Linked DNA regions of Daphnia pulex. The protein of the gene in region 2 binds, or shares a complex with, the protein of the main gene of each other region. Links are inferred from orthologs where the notes say so. Each region holds a gene or a part of one and is shown on either strand. Other genes may lie near its edges.

Evidence for each region.
Region 1: the proteins of protein unc-79 homolog (region 2) and sodium leak channel non-selective protein-like are in contact, whole or in part, in a cryo-EM structure (PDB 7SX3), measured with the Homo sapiens proteins. The link is inferred for Daphnia pulex from reciprocal best matches to the Homo sapiens genes UNC79 and NALCN. Residues at the interface, in NP_001333147.1 of Homo sapiens: Cys861, Gln862, Ile865, Glu968, Pro969, Asp970, Phe1020, Gln1022, Pro2088, Asp2089, Ala2092, Pro2093, Leu2095, Leu2096, Met2099, Leu2139, Pro2141, Asn2142, Gly2143, Ile2144, Gln2147, Leu2148, Ser2151; in NP_001337678.1 of Homo sapiens: Gln349, Met350, Phe351, His352, Glu353, Gly358, Trp359, Gln360, Leu361, Phe712, Ser713, Ile714, Arg717.

What each region holds. Positions count from the first base shown.
Region 1 is NC_060028.1:1,975,401-1,978,539, reverse strand, and holds the end of sodium leak channel non-selective protein-like, read right to left. Parts: coding exon 3,111-3,139; intron 3,028-3,110; coding exon 2,946-3,027; intron 2,878-2,945; coding exon 2,654-2,877; intron 2,590-2,653; coding exon 2,394-2,589; intron 2,317-2,393; coding exon 2,239-2,316; intron 2,164-2,238; coding exon 1,779-2,163; intron 1,717-1,778; coding exon 1,521-1,716; intron 1,450-1,520; coding exon 1,374-1,449; intron 1,307-1,373; coding exon 1,093-1,306; 3' UTR 642-1,092; downstream 1-641. Other genes in the region: CAAX prenyl protease 2-like, read left to right, coding at 1-69, 143-396. UniProt on the Homo sapiens protein: Voltage-gated ion channel responsible for the resting Na(+) permeability that controls neuronal excitability. NALCN channel functions as a multi-protein complex, which consists at least of NALCN, NALF1, UNC79 and UNC80.
Region 2 is NC_060021.1:6,773,625-6,777,281, forward strand, and holds part of protein unc-79 homolog, read right to left. Parts: coding exon 1,947-3,657; intron 1,889-1,946; coding exon 1,765-1,888; intron 1,699-1,764; coding exon 1,449-1,698; intron 1,378-1,448; coding exon 1,271-1,377; intron 1,207-1,270; coding exon 1,039-1,206; intron 977-1,038; coding exon 447-976; intron 379-446; coding exon 1-378. UniProt on the Homo sapiens protein: Auxiliary subunit of the NALCN sodium channel complex, a voltage-gated ion channel responsible for the resting Na(+) permeability that controls neuronal excitability.

The sequences.
Region 1 (3,139 bases), on a different chromosome or scaffold from region 2:
GGCATTTTCATCATATGGTCGAGCGTTGGCGGCAAGGAATGCCTTTAGCTCAGTCTCTACTACTATCATGTAATAAAACAAATTTATACATTTAGTAAATCAATGAAGGTGAGTTTGTCTAATGCATTTCCGTTATTCTCAGGTTTTCAGTTTGCTTACACCACCCTTTTCGGAATGTACGCCGCATTTTTATTTATTCGAACGGGTAATGTTGCCGCTCCGTGTGTTGCGCACGCATTCTGTAACGTGATGGGTTTCCCCGATTTCGGTGAGATTGGCCGACTGAACGGTTGGAAAAGGATTGTGTTGGCTTCAGCTTTTGTCGTTGGGCTATTGGGGTGGTATTTCCTACTCTGGCCTTTAACAGAACCAACTCTTTATGATAATAATCCTTGAGTATTAAAGTTTTCTCGACGCGTGCTTTTTCTGAGTCATAGAAATATACATTGCTGCTTCAGTTTCTTTTAAAACAGTTATGCATTTATTCATGCTCTTCCAGTCTTCCCGGATCCTGAAAAATTAGAATCAAATTTTTTTTCTACCCTACGCACAAAAGAAATAAAAAGATGTTGTTTTCAATATTCTAATAAAATTTAGTGAATAAACTCTTGACACTATTATAGAATAGGAAAAGGCTCAAATGTTTTAAATAGTTGTATTAATTAGAATCCAGAGGAACACTGTGTACTCCATCCAAGGGCCGCAAGATGCTCCACCCGTGTTTCCTCGTAACAGCGATATACTAGAAATCGAATGTGCGAATAACTTGTACGTATCTTCGTCATGTATGAATCAGGATATTTTTAAATCGATCCTTTTTTCATTGGAAACTCAAATAGGAAACTTTAAACGAGAATGTTTGGTTGCTAAAAGAGATTGTGGGGTGGTAACTGGCACGTTTACGTCGTACCAAGTAATTTGAGACAACATTTTTAGATCTAAACAATAAACTTTGACTTGGCACAGATGTCCGACTATATATAACTATGTGGTTTGTTATGCTTCATTATTTGTCGAATTAAATTGTTCACTAGAATTGTGCTTTTCGCAAAAGGAAGATATTTGGTTTTTGTGTGTGGGTTGACGTATTAATTAATCTTCATCGGAACCGTCGGGAGAGGCGAGTTGATCCCGCCACCAGTCCTGAACCTCAGTAACGGCCGATGCCACGCGAACGGCCAAAGCACTGGGTGGTGCCAACGGCGGAAGCGGATGGCCAGAGCCGCGGCTTGACCAGTTGGAAGAAGCACCGCCACCAATGCTCGAGTACGGGAAGACAAGGCCGTGCTGGCCACCTGTTGTTGGACTAGACAAATTCAAAAAGCCAGTCATTTAAATGTTCACGATTTAAATCAATAAAAATAACGTCTCACCAAGTTGGACTGGCACCAGGACTACACTCGCCCGCCGAGTGCGAAAAACTGGAAGAAGGAATCCCTTTTCCGGTACCTGTTGAATGAAAAAGTATCCCGATTACAGCAATCTATTCACGGGTCCTGTAAACATAAGACTTTAATTACTTTGACGTGATGGCCTCTTCTTCGGATTGGATGAAACGCCCAGCCTTTCCTTGTCGTAGGTGGATCGTTGCTGGGAGATTCCATCGGCGCCGTGGCAAGGAGCGTAAAACAAGCGTCGACCGCTGACGCTGTTGATGCTGTCAGAGCGTGTGACCAGCATACCCTTCCGACGATGTTTGCCACTTCCTTCCGCCTCCTGCAATGCCCAGTTTCAATTTAGTACCGCCAGAATTATGTATATAACGCAATTGATCACACCTTCACTTCAGAAATATCTCTTTCGGCACCTCCAGCGTTGAATTCCCGGTTTTTTTCTTCCTGGGCCTCTTGAAGTTGGTCGTTGGTAGCCCGCAAACCGGCCAATAAGCTATTGTGCTCCTTCTGTAAGATGAACAAATGAATCACTAAATTGCGTAACGTCAGGGGAAGGGAAAGACACCAAAAAAACAACAAAAAAATAGGGGGAGAACAAACGGTGTCGTGAATATTCACAGTCTTCATTCGTTTCAAGCACGAATCCAGCCACTGGCGAATGGTTTGCTTGGCCACTTCTTCTTCGATGATGTACTCAAGCTCTTCACGGGCCAAAAGCTCTTCCAGTTGCAGCGACTTGCGGATGTCCACCGAACGATACGACAGCATGCTACATTAACAATTAAAATATAGCGTTGATTAAATATACGTAACAGAAATAGGTTTCTAATTTGAATTGTTTTACTTCAGAACGTCGTGGAAGGTGACATCTTCTCCGTTGTGTAGTCGTTCTAACTCGAAGCACATGTGCTTGAAAAGGAGCCTAAAAATTAATGTTACAAGTTGAAGTGAAACATTCGTTGTCAAAATTATTTGATGGAATTATATTAAATCGCCTACCGATCCTTTTGAGGATCGACTTCGAGACGGCCTTTGAGTAGACGCAGGACAAATTTGACTTTCCGTACGGGAATAACACCGCGCTGGTTGACGTCCACAATGTTCCACGTATTTTGGAAATTGCGGATGTCGGCGTAGGAGAGAAGGGCGTCCTCTTCGTTGGAATAGAAGAGGGAAAAGTTCTCCATAATAATCGCTAACCCAGAAAAAGAATAGGTTTTAGTTATCGGAGGATGCACTTGGTATATCAAACCCCGTACCGACAAGAAGGTTGAGAACGATGTACGTGATGATAACGTAAAAGGAGCAGAAAAAGATCATGGCAGCCGTGAAATTGCCGCAATCCGTTTCCCAATAATTGGCGCCCGGTGTGCAAAACGGCGGCAACACCATGCAGTCGTGCATGATTTTGTACCAATCCTCTCCCGTCACAATACGGAACAGCATGATGATGCCCCTAGGCGTGCTGCCAAAGTTGGCTTGCCTTTACAGACATAAAAGAAGATGAAATAATTCTCATAAGAATAATAACTTTATGCCAATAATTAATACCTTCCAACACTTTCGCCGTATTTGACCGTACCGAAGAGCAGACAGCCGGTCAGGGCATAAACGAAGATGAGCAAGAACATGCCTGCATTCGACGGAAAGAAATAAACGACATCGGTATAAAATTGTGTGCTAAGAGATGTAGATTGTACGAGGTATTATAGGTACCCATAATAATGAAAAAGCTCTTGTAGACG
Region 2 (3,657 bases):
TGAGCGAATAGAGGGGTCCAAATCTGGGCACTCAATTCGAGCGGCGGAAGACACTCGATATAGCAGGCCACATTGGGCAACATCATGGCGATCTGGGCTGGCGACAACTGTTTTTGCTCATTCAGTGACTCGAGCAACAACTGGAGCGGTGCCGCCGGAGTCAGTTCAACGAAATCCGTCAACGCCGATGCCATCGTCTTGAAGAAAGACTGCTTCATCTCTTCAGGCACTTGAGTCTGGAATAATTGGATGAAGACCTTGTTTGGTGTGAGCTGATGCAACAGGCACCGGAGAAATTGGCGAGCAATCGCACCAACTTCACCGGGTACGTACAAATTGCTACCCATTTGCCAGGTATATGTCGTACTTCCCGCCCACCTATAAGTTTAAATTTAAAACTTAGCTTCACATCATGTTAATTTCATAGCAAATAAAAATTGAGGTACTTTGCGTTACAGCGGAGAATTTCTGGTAGCATAGTAGCAGCCAAAGCAGGCTCGCGATGAACGAACGTCGATATAATGACGATACATAATCCGAGTTCTTCTTCGCTGAATTCTTCAAATGGTGCGTTGCATTTGGAACAACGGTGACACGCCACTTCGTCACCGACGCGAAGACAGCTCTGTTTCATGGGCGTATGTACTGCGTGATTGACAGGGGCTGGATGAGGTGCTGGGGTTTCAATCTGAGGCTGTTGTTGCTGACGGTTTGATTGTTCGGTGGATAGAAACGGAATTTCGGGACCCATGGTTCCCATAGAGATGCCCATTTTTCTCTGTCGAGTTCTGACTCCCGTAGGTGTCGCTGTGGCTGCTGCGGCGGCGGCAGCGGCGTCCGCTGCATTGACCTGACGGTGCGACACAATTGTATGGGCTTCATAGACACCCGATGGTTGTCGGACACAGGCCGCCAGCGATACTTCTGACGCTGCAGTGGCGGAATTCGGTTCTTGCTGTGACATTTCTGAGAGAACCTATTGATAGAAAAGACCCAATGATTACATAAAGGATGAAACTCGGCGTAGAAAATATTTACCTCGACTTCAGCAAGTGAATCTCGATCCCAATCAGGATCCGGCCGACTACTCTTGGGACTCTCAGGTATAACTTCAAGTTCTATGCCATCAACGTCAGCGTCGATGTCACATTCACTAGAGATACTTCCAGTCAACTCACGTCGGGACGTCAATGTGACGTTAGATTTCTGTAATAGCGGAAAAAGAAATCAGCAAATAATTCGTCATCAACGTATTAGAGATAAGATTTACCGTTGCAACTTGTAGCTGAATTTGATGTTGAATTGTAGAGGAGCCCCAGACCAATCCAGCTATGCCAAGAACAGCTCCTACACCGTGTCCAATGACATTTGCTCTTCCTAAATAAATCAATTTTAAGCATAAACATTTAAAAATCGTTCAGCAAATCGCTGAATCCTTAAATAAAAACCTTTTAGATCTGTTGGATCAATGGGAGTCTCTACTTCCAAAGAGCCTTGACTCTGGTCTCTCATCCTCATAGTTGCAGTTGAAGAGACCCCATGGAGTTGATGCTGCGCTGTCGATGGATGGCCGTGACTTAAAGTGGCCCCAATACCACCGTAGCGATAACAGCGATGGTATTGAGATTCCAGAGTGTTAAGAACGATCCGGATGATGCTCTGTACTAACGGAGCTAAATTCGGTTGGTTATAACGATACTGCAACAATGCAGAAGAAATATTTAATAAAGTTGGCCCAATCTTTTTCATAGTAAATAAACAAACCTTGTAGAGGATTACTAACACTGTTTGTAGCCACATCCGTCGAGGATGAGTTTCCAAATACCATAGGGAATAGGTCGGTTTGTAGGCTCTTTGTGGAGTCGTGCCGTTGTGTCGATCGTTGACGCTAAGTAATTGAAGGAAATTAAATAATTTCAAAATTGATCAAAGGATGGTGAACTTACTTATTCGAAGCTGCTGCAGCAGCTGAGCCGGAAGCGAAACCAACGCTACTCATGGATCCGTGAGTTGTGATGGGCACACCAGCTTGCCCATGACATTGTAACCACGAATTACCTCCAGGACCGTTGTTCTTTGACGGCGGGGCGGGGCAGAAAATCATCAAAGATAACGTCATGGGCAGAAGATTGGCTCCGATAGCTAAATTACGATCCAGAACTTGCGGAAGAGCCGAGAGAAAGGCGTTGAAAGGAGCCGATGCTCTGAGTTTCTGTGGTGTCAAACAGAAAGCTCTTTCGGTGGGTCCGTAGCCCAGCAAAAGACTCAAATGTCGAAGGACCAGGTTCTGAATTTGCGATTGGAACTTATCGTCGCTCAACTGGGCGAGATCTGGCTGCGCCAGGAATTGCATCAGCGTAGTCAACAGTAAAGAGTGGGTTTCACCATCGTAGTCGTCCAGTTCCGAGCAACGTTGCATGAAGAGAGCAACGTAGGCTTCTTCTTGAGACGCTTGTTGATTGTTCATCCTGTCGCCACCGAGAGCGCCCCTGGATCGCATCAACTTCAACTGGGCTGAAGAACTTTGTCGGCTGTAACTCTTGGTCACTCCGTGCTGTGGGTGATGATTGGGTGTAGACTTTCGGCGATTGAAGCGATGAGTTGACAGGCTCAACGACCGCATCAAGCTCCTCGGTTGCTGTTGAGTCGGCGAACTAGACCTGCTAGGAGCGTAGCGCTTGATGGCCTCACGAGCTTTCTGCAATTTCTTGTTGAAGCTTTCGTTTGACATGTGACTGGACTTGAGATCTCGCGGTTCAATCAATTCCCCGGCCCGCTGTAGGCTCAACTGGGCTTCCAAATACAGAGCGTCGAAACGATTGAAAAAGAATTTCCACGAAATGATCTTGCGTTTGGTCAGCCAAGGGTGATGATGCAGGGCCATAATAGAGTGCAACAACAGAGGTCTGTCGCTGATGAAACTGTCAAACTGCTGTTCCATACACCAAACGAGCAGTTTAAGCGATCCATCGTGCAAGCTCTCGAGGAGTATGGTTGCCCGGTTGGCTACAGCCGTGTTGATATCGTCCATTGATGAAATGAGGAAACAAAAGGCGTTGGTCAGGATCGACTGTAAAATGGAACTCTGTTTGACGGTGGGATCGTCCAGAAATTGGCACACCAACATCATCCGCTCCACGGATGAAAAGCGAGTCTTCCAATCGCGCGAGTGGAAATCCGATTCCATAATTTTCCAGAAGACATCCGATCCACCCGGAAGAGTGAGACAGTGCAGCAAGAGAGAGGCACACGTCTGGGCGACGTGCGATGTTTGACTCTCGAGGAGATTCCAGAGCTGGGCCACGGTGAGGTTTTCTTGAACCCAAAACAGGAAGCCTGGATGCTCGCGACAGGCGGATTTACTGAGCACCTCGCAGTGTAGACAAAGGATTTCGACGCAGCGGAGTAGATGTCGCTGAGTGTCCGGTCGGATCAAGTGGTAGAGCTCTTTCAGGAATCCGTAAATGAGTTGGAGGTGATTCGGCAATTCATCCAGCGCAAATCGAAATTTGCCGGCCGTCGTCACCCAATATTGTTGATTCGGCTGTTGATGGTCTGGATGATCCATGTGGTCTGAAGGATCCACGTCCGTCAACATGCTCGGCTGAGCTACTTGGGCTTTGCAGCCGGCCACTTCCATTTCAGTGCAAGTCACAG